3 linked regions of the Bombyx mori genome follow. The protein of the gene in region 2 interacts with the protein of the main gene of each other region in a biochemical or structural test. Links are inferred from orthologs where the notes say so. Each region holds a gene or a part of one and is shown on either strand. Other genes may lie near its edges.

Region 1 (2,179 bases), on a different chromosome or scaffold from region 2:
TCTAGAAATGCTAAAACACTTTAGTAGATAGTAAGTAACTTGTATCTTTCTAACAAATATTTTTAACCAATTTTCAGGTAGGACCAAATTATCCTCACGAGCCGCCCAAAGTCAAATGTGAAACAGCAGTTTATCATCCTAACATAGACCTCGAAGGCAACGTGTGCCTGAATATACTCAGGGAAGATTGGAAACCTGTTCTCACAGTTAACTCCATAGTGTACGGTCTCCAGTATTTATTCTTGGTAAGCCCACTAAATTGATATAAAGACATAGCAATTAAGAACTTCTCATCAAACAGTTTTCTTTTTTTGGTTTTTCTTTTCCAGAAATTGACAAGTTTTGGTGTAATTATGATTATTTTCGTTTTTTTTTTTATTTCAACCTTTCAAATACTTCAATTTTCGTATTCACCGACAACTGTGAGTCTTTAAAGTATTTTTAATTATGTGTAGGACTCACGAAAACCAACGAAATAACTGCTGGTTATGGTTTGATGAAAAAGTTTATGTTTGAAGTAATATTAAATTTAGAAAAATGTATTAATCTCAAGAATGTTTCGGAATCTGAAGAAATTTACTGTACAAAATGCTCTTTTATCAAACTTAGGGCTGCCGATAAAAATCATAACTATAAAAATATTCGTATATTAGCAGTACTCGTAAAGATAAATATAATGAGATTAGATGGGAAAGTCGCTATTCGTCCGTCATCACACGTATTGCATTTTTATCTATTTTGGTGTACAATAACGCATACTCTCTCTTTCATTCACGGTATTGTATTTTATTTTTATCCAGTTTACGTGTACTTGTATAGTCTTGTATAATTGTATCCTATAACTCTCTGTGGAGAGAGTTCTTTGACGAATTGAGAAAATTTCATCATTTTCATTTTATCTTCGCACGAACTGTCAGCAAAGCTTATCTATACTCGCGCCACCCACCTCGAGATATACGTTCTAAGGTCTCAAGTAATAGTTCAACGGCTGCCCCACCCTTCAAACCGAAACGCATTACTGCTTCACGGCCGAAATAGGCAGGGCGGTGGTACCCACCCCCGCGCAGACTCACAAGAGGTCCTACCACCAGTAAAAAACATGTATTGGAATTGTTTTTTTTTTTTTTTAGGAACCAAACCCTGAAGATCCCCTCAACAAGGAAGCAGCTGACGAGCTCCAAAGCAACAGGCGACTTTTCGAACAACACGTTCAGAGAGCTATGCGAGGCGGCTACGTCGGCACATCTTATTTCGAACGATGCCTCAAATGAAAACCTGCACACGTGTAAAAAATGCTAACAACCATATAAATAATAATAAAATCTCATTTTAATGTTTTTCTATTGTTTCGTTTTTATTTATTTAATATTGTTTTTAAAAAAAGCCATCTCTAATGCCATGCCCAACAAGATATCTAAAGTACAATTATTATATTGAGAAATCGTTTAATTCACTTGAATTTCTCTTATAATAATTTCATAACAAAATATACGAGTCGTATCGATCGATCCTATATTTTTCGAGTTGATATCAAATTCAAACACAGTTATGTCTTCATAGTTAAACTTAAAAAAATGTCGCTAGTGGCGCTTAGGTCATTGTAAATAAAGAACTGCATTCAACAATTCTTTCATTTGAATACCTAAGTATATTTGTGATGTTGACTAATCCTTATCGGATGGGTAACTAGTAACTATAAATGTACTTTTCTAGTTATATACCAAACTATTACTCTGCTAGTTGGTGGATGAGATAGCATACACAATACATGAGTAAATGCATGTAGTATGCTGTAAGTATCTAACAAACCACTAAATACTTACTAAATAGTGAAGAATTCGATAAAAAGAGAAGGAAGGATTTAATTGATATGATTGAATTGATTTAGTGACACAAACGAATGTTTTAAAACCAATCCTAGTAGGTGGCACCGATGACGTCTGATCTGGCATCTATGCTAGTAAAAATACATTTGAGAATGCGGCTACCTACCCGAATTTTTAAGTCTACAAATAGCGTTCGTAAAATCAAACAAAAGCTTAAAATTTTGCACTGAAATATTTATTCCTTTTTTTTTAAATGGAATTACCGTCTGATAGCAGCGGGTAGGAAAAAACTTTAAAACCATTTTTGAATATCCAATTCGTAATTTAAATTTTAATACGCTTATCTCCTATTG
Region 2 (3,665 bases):
GCGTTCCTGGGCGCGGCCGGTATGTTGCACTTCGGCGTCGCGCTCTGCGTCGGCCAGAAGCCGGTCGTGAGCACTCGGACGGACAGATCCACTCCGTACAAGTTCAGCTGTGAATGCGCACTGTTCTTTACATGCATAAGTGTTTAACGACGAAAATGTCTTATTTTTATATAGTACTAGCCGTACTCGCCCGCTTCGCTGGGCATTTAAAATTAACATTATTATTTATTGTCATTATTATTAGGGAGTCCAACACTGGTTACCGTCGCCCATGGACTTCAGCAATGCCAGGGGCAGAGCCAAGGCGCTGCCTACCGCTTAATACTCTCCACAAGCCTCGTTTGAAGAAGGACATGTCATAGCGCTCGGGAAATACCGTGGAGGGGAGCTCATTCCATAGCCGGATGGTACGTGGCAAAAAAGACCTCTGGAAACGCACTGTGGATGACCGCAGTGGCTCCAGGTAGTATGGATGAACTCTACTCCGGTGGCGGGCGGTGCGATGGTAAAAACGAGATGCCGGTATCATCTCGAACAATTCCTCAGAGCACTCCCTATGGAACATACGGTACAAAATACAGAGGGAACCGAAGTCCCTCCGCAGACCCAGAGGTTCCAAACGATTCGAACAGATTATGTAGGTAAATAAACTTACCCCACTAGAGAGCACGTGTTCCTTAAATTCATCCATGATGGTGTTAGAGACGGTCATATCCTTGAACATACCCTCTAATTTTGATGTGAACTGACAACCACACTCAGTCTAAAACGAAACAAAGAAAGGGTTTATTAAATACGACAAGCATATGAGTCGACGATTTCGTTTGATGCTCCCAACGTGCGGGCGTCACACGACACCACAATATGAATGGAGGAAGAACGGTCCCTTGTCCTAGTGTGTTAATTAGGAATTTACGATTGCTTTACGGCAGAAGCAGACAGGCTGGTGATGTTGTTCCGGGCGGGATTACAGCACATCGACTTCCCAACGTCGACGAAAGAAAAGTATTAAGGTTATTTAGAAAAATTAGGTGAACACCTAAGGATACAGTTTAAGATATACAAATTAAAAATACAACACAATTGTGTGATAGATAAATATTAGCTGTCTTTTTTTATAAACTCGTCGGACCATAGTTGTCTGTTTTCTGTATACTAATTAAATAGTTTTTATCTTTTGCTCGACAATAAACATCTACTTTATGAATATCTTTGAAAAAAAGTAGGAACTTATTATTACTCATTAGGATTTATTTCTATTAACTATTCTACCTTTTTTTTACAATCACCTGCTTAAAGTCTGTTTACATTTACATCTGCAAAATTCTTTACATTTTCCTTTTAAATATTTTAAAGCAAATCACAATTAGAAGTCCCACAGAAGACTTTAAGCAAGTTCTACGTTTAAAACTTACTTGAAATACATTGAAAAAATACTTGGACTCACAAACGAATATATCCATATGGTAAAGAATTTTGCAAATTTAAACAGGCACAATAGAACGGGTCGTGTTATTGTGATGTGTTAACGGTCACTGTTCTAGTTTTCAATTTGCGAAAAGTCACCGATAATGCAGTGATAGTCGCGGAGTTCCACATCCCTCAATAACCCTTCGTTCTGGTTAAATGATAATGATATTCATTGTATGGAGTAACTTCAAAATTAATTAGTTATGTTTGATTAAAAAACTAACACCATATATAGGTACAAAATGTAGTATAGTGTGTCTAGTAGTTTAATTCTAAATAATCAGGCAGCACAAATTTTCGTAGCAAATATGAGTGCATTTGTATGATATTTAGGCTCTAATTTTCTCGAGAAATTATCAAACTTGAACGCATGATTGAATCGCGGTAAAATAGGAAGGGCAGTGATACCAACCGATGCACACTTTCAATACACTCTGTTCCATTTCGTATGTTACAAAATACTTATTTATTATCAAAGTTCTAAGATGATATAAAATATCGTACATTATAGAATACTGACCTTAAGTTTGGAGATCATGTTCTTTTCACTGTCATCAGAGACAGACTTATTGAGTAAGAGCCGTTTCGCTAGATGCTGTTTATAATAACGTTCGAAAACGTCCTTCTCTTGTAAAAATCGGAATAGTACCATTGTTTTATCCAGCACAGCTTCGATTTCCTGTTCGCTCATCTGTAATAGAGAACGCATGTTGTAGAATTGCGGAACTAGATTCGTGAACAGAATTTGTGAAATGTTATTTTAATACTTACCCCCTTTTCGCCTTTCTTTAATTTTCCATCAATGAACAATGACAAGAATTCCGGTGACTTATTATTCAAGTTAAGGAAGTATTCGAAGTCTGACGTGATCATGTGCTTGAATATTTTATCGTTGTTGAATGAATTTTGTAGGAAATGGTCAAATCGGTCCTTTAGATCAAGAAGGTTCTGGAAGAATTGAAATAACCTCTAGTTAATCAGTCTATTACATATAATTGAATAAACAGAACTTTTTCATGTGTGCATAACAACAGCTACAGATTGAGTATACTTAAACATATTATGGCAGTTTTCGCAGTTAAAGAGGGGTATTAAATAATTTGTTTCGGGTATTTATTTTTGAAATACGATTTTAAAACTATATCGACGCTTGAAAGGCAAACGTGAGTAAGCGACAATTCGTGAACTTTACAGTAGACTAATTTAAAGTTGAAACACCTGAAAACAAAATTTATTTTAACAAATCTAGCTAGTAGCTGTAGGATTGAAATGATTTTAATAGACCTAGAAATATATATATATTTTGCGCATCGAATATGGTTATTGCCTATCATTTATGTATAAAGCAGTTATTGTCGTTTAGTCACGTTCGCCTTTCAAGCGTCGATATATATCCTGTTTTGTCGTGTCCGTACGTACGCACCTGAACGTATGCGATGGCGTTGGTGTTGTGCAGCGTGTCGGTGACGAGCGCGCGGCCCTGCTCGCGGAGGTGCGCGGACACGGCGTCGGCCACCGTGCGCAGCCCCTCCCCGACGCGCGACAGCAGCTTGTACACGCAGCCCAGCTCCGACGTGCGCGTGTGCGTCAACATGTGCACCACGCCAGAGTTCTCCATCTGAACACAAAGAACCGAATCCTTACTGTCTTCACTATTGCGTAATGAATATCGATAACTGTAAAGGCTTCGTCAAACAGAACGCGTAATTAGCACGCGTCAGAGCGCTAAACCGACGGCGCGCTATGACGCCGAGATGTGTTGTACTACTATGGTAACATACCGTCAAACAGAGCCCCAGCGCTATAAGTACGCAACGCTCTGTCGCGGCGTTAGGACGCTTTGACGTCAGGCGTAATTTTTTACAAATTTTATTTTAGCGTCCGAGTGAATGTGTATAAAAATACTAGATAATGCCCGAAAAATTGAGAGAAATAGTTAGAAAATGCCCATGCTTATACAATGCCACATTTGAATCACTCGACATCTTAATACTTTTAAATTTTCACATTGCTATCGAAAGGCACTATGATTTGGCGAATGCGTTGCCTCAAGGAGCGTTGGACCCATCTAGTCAATTTGTGTGAAAGGAAAAGAGCGCGATGTTAAAACGCGGCGCTAAGTACGCGTTCTGTTTGACGAAGGCTTAATATCTTCTTTTTTTTTTTAAGTGATTTTATGACCTGATAACTAAGAC
Region 3 (3,665 bases), about 9.0 Mb from region 2:
TGGCCTCGTCCAGCAGGTCGCGGCAGGCGTCGTCGGAGCGGATCAGCAGCTCCGAGGAGACGGTGCCCACCAGGAACTTGGGACTCAGCAGCGGCAGTCGGACGTGCTGGAGCACCTGCGCCAGGTGCTGCCGCCGCTCGGCCACGTTGTACTTGACCCAGGACATGACGGCCTGGAAAGTCTGCTCCTCCGAGCGAACGTTCAGCTCGTCCGAGGACACGATGTCGATCAGCTGCGAGGCGGGCAGCAGTAAGAACTCTTCACTCTCCATCACCTGCAGACAAAAATCCAGTGCAATTGCATCTTTCTGTTGTTTGTAACTAGCTAGTGCAGTAACTATACTATTAGATATCAGAAGTATTTATATATTTTATAATTGATATAATAGTAGTTCTGTTCCTGACGGAGAACTATTCCAAAATCACCATACTGTTGTATGGATGGCACATACTATAGCTTTTTATCAAACAGATGCATTCGACATATTAACAACAGTGGCATTGAACCCTGTCAGTGATTCGCTTCTTTTTAATTACAATTACAAAGCTATCATAATTTAATAAATTAGTGTTCTACATTGAAGGGCCCTCAAGCTCCTATGTCAAACTATACTCCCTCTGTGTTATGTTTGCTGGAAACTTATAGAACAAAAAAGTACATCGAGAATACAACCCATCTTTCACAGAAGCATTGAGTACAATCGTGTATTGAATGCAAATCGCATGGAAATATACTATAGTCAGTGTCACTAACCAATTGACCTTTTAGATGGACAACAAACATTTATATAATTTATGTTTAATATTAAGGTAGTATTGATTGTCATCACTTGAAAGTTTGATAGGAAATGAATTTCTATAGACTGGAGTCCCGGAGCACTTTGCTGGAAGAGCAGCTGTCATCCAATGTTTATTTATTTATTTATTTATTTGGGAAACAAACAGTACAATACAAACATATAATATTTAAAAAAATATAGCTAAAACAATAACCAAATATGTTTCCACAATCAAAATCACATATAAGTAGAGAGTGAACAAGAAGAGAAATTTAGAAATTTAAATTACAAAAAAACAAACAAACAAAAGCAACACAATACGCACATATTATTTTATACATCAACTATACTACTTATCGAGCCTAAATCACCTTATAACTGTTTTAAAATAGCTTTTCTATATGCTACAAGTGACAAGCAAAAGATGTCAGCATTAGAGAACTTAGCATCATACAACCTACAAGATCTACGGACAAAAGAGTTAGATGCATATTTCGTTCGAGCCGTGGACATGTGAAAGGTCTGTTTAGAACGCGCGGAAATACGACTACATTTAAATGAAATTTTGGAAAGAAGATAGCTAGAATCAATCTCGTTATTTATTATTTTATATAAAAACATTTGATCCCTCAGTAGCCTACGATCGACTAGAGATACAAATTCTGTCGGTTCTGGAGAGCGCCGACAATGGTATAAAAGATGCTTAAAAAACTTTTTTTGGACTCTTTCTAGTCGCTGAATATAAATATTATATTGGGGATTCCATGTGACGGAGCCATATTCCAATATAGACCGTACAAAACTGTTGTACAACAGAATCAAAGTAGATGGTCTTTTAAATTCTTTACCAACTCTAAGTATGAAGCCTAACATTCGAATAGCCTTATTTACTATTTCATTAACATGAACATCAAAAATCAGACTGGAATCCAAATAAATACCCAAATCACGAACAACTGTGGTGCGTACCAAAGTTTGACCATTAATAGAATAGTCATACAAGATATTCGATCTTCCACGTGAGAATGTTATAATAGTACACTTGTTAGTATTCACTGTGAGTAAGTTATTTTGACAGTAAACAAATAAGTTGTTCAAATCATCTTGTAATTCCAAACAGTCATTTAAGGACTTTATAACTTTATATACTTTTTTGTCATCGGCGTACATAATGAATTTGGATTTATTGAAAACATTTGAAACGTCATTGACATATATATATTAAATAACATAGGACCGAGATGAGAGCCCTGAGGAACTCCCGAGGGAACAGGTGCAAATGAAGAACATGTTAGAGAGATACATCTGCTTAAAGACAATAGAGCGCACCTCTGGGAAGTTCTGTTGTGTGAATTTATCGGCGATCCGGAGCAGTTCCCGACACGAGTGGGTGTCGGCGAAGGCTCTGATGCCGAGGCAGTTGGAGCAGTCCAGCTGACGCTTGAGGAACTCGCAGCACACGTCCTGGATCTCTTGCAGCTGCAGCAGGCACGCAGCCGGGAGCAGGGCCTGAGCGATGAAGACCGTATTACTTTCCAAATTCAATGCCAATCTGTATGGCTTACAATTGACAAGCCCGCCCTTTCATTACCGACATCAGTATGCCGCTAAAGGTCGACGCACAGTGAAAGCAACACACAAAAGGTGCTCCTGAAAAACCCAAGGATTGAACTTGGTAATAGTCTAAACTTTTATACAAACTTTTTTACTGATGGTCCTATTGTGAGCCTGCGCGGGTAGGTACCACCACCCTGCCTATTTCTGCCGTGAAACAGTAGTGCGTTTCGGTTTGAAGGTTGTAACTATACTTGAGACTTTTGAACTTATATCTCAAGGTGGGTGGCGCATTTACGTTCTAGATGTCTATGGGCTCCAGTGACCACTTAACACCAGGTGGGCTGTGAGCTCTTCCACAAAGCTAAGCAATAAAGCAATAAAATATAAACAACAAACAAGACACCACCTCGTCTGCTACATGCTGCTACCTACTATAGGCACATCGTGTAGTACCTGCACGTTACTCTCCTCGACGACGATGTGCGCGGTGTAGCAGAACTCCACGAGCTGCTCCATGGCCTGCTCGTCCACGTCCCGGATCGTGACTTCGGTGGCGCGAGACTCGGCCAGTTCCCCAGTGAACATCGCTCGGAAGTACGGGCTGCATGCTGATAGGATTACTCTGTTCCCAGGCATTTTTCAAGGATATGAGAATCGATTATATGGCTTCTCGCAATTTCTGATATCTTTTATCAGATATTGTCAAATTAAATAGGTTCTGTAGCAACATTATGTTATGAGCTTCTTCGGACACATCATGCGGTCTCACAGACATGAATTAGAGAAGCTCAAAATTACGGGTCGAATAGAAGGCAAGCGCGCCGTGGGCAGAACACCAGCCAGATGGTCAGATCTAGCAAGAGAAGCACTCGGTGGTAGTCTGTACCATGCAGTCCATGCCACCCATGATCGGGTGCATTGGAAGTACATCGCATGTGGTCGCGATCCTCAGTAGTGAGGGAACGATATAGAAGAAGAAGTAGCAACATTCATTTCTTAATTTAGTAGCCACCTACGGGGCACTACAAAAACAACCAGATTCGCTATAAGAGGCGATTAGCAGTAGACGAGGTACGAACTAACAGACATCTAGGAAACGATAAAAGTGCGCTTTTTTATGTTAGAGGGATTACTGGTGACCTTTGCAGTTTCACCAAGACAGTTGGGCCAGCAAGGTCTCAACCAGGAGGAGTGGGATTGGCTAACAGATACCCGAGAACCTCCAAGGAAGATCTAACACCTCAAGAGTAGCTGCTACGCGAATGAATCTACTGCCGGATCGAAATCGCGACCCGCTGAGAATATTCGGCGAGTAACTCAGCGGACGGAT

The links.
Region 1: the proteins of cullin-3-A (region 2) and ubiquitin-conjugating enzyme E2M form a complex in vitro, tested with the Homo sapiens proteins (2 studies listed by BioGRID, with this or other methods). The link is inferred for Bombyx mori from reciprocal best matches to the Homo sapiens genes CUL3 and UBE2M.
Region 3: the proteins of cullin-3-A (region 2) and kelch-like protein diablo form a complex in vitro, tested with the Homo sapiens proteins (2 studies listed by BioGRID and IntAct). The link is inferred for Bombyx mori from reciprocal best matches to the Homo sapiens genes CUL3 and KLHL20.

What each region holds. Positions count from the first base shown.
Region 1 is NC_085121.1:6,067,259-6,069,437, reverse strand, and holds the end of ubiquitin-conjugating enzyme E2M, read left to right. Parts: intron 1-77; coding exon 78-245; intron 246-1,130; coding exon 1,131-1,271; 3' UTR 1,272-1,620; downstream 1,621-2,179.
Region 2 is NC_085110.1:9,634,211-9,637,875, reverse strand, and holds part of cullin-3-A, read right to left. Parts: intron 3,089-3,665; coding exon 2,894-3,088; intron 2,419-2,893; coding exon 2,242-2,418; intron 2,162-2,241; coding exon 1,991-2,161; intron 764-1,990; coding exon 656-763; intron 108-655; coding exon 1-107. UniProt on the Homo sapiens protein: Core component of multiple cullin-RING-based BCR (BTB-CUL3-RBX1) E3 ubiquitin-protein ligase complexes which mediate the ubiquitination and subsequent proteasomal degradation of target proteins.
Region 3 is NC_085110.1:681,848-685,512, reverse strand, and holds part of kelch-like protein diablo, read right to left. Parts: intron 2,958-3,665; coding exon 2,789-2,957; intron 2,288-2,788; coding exon 2,108-2,287; intron 275-2,107; coding exon 1-274. UniProt on the Homo sapiens protein: Substrate-specific adapter of a BCR (BTB-CUL3-RBX1) E3 ubiquitin-protein ligase complex involved in interferon response and anterograde Golgi to endosome transport.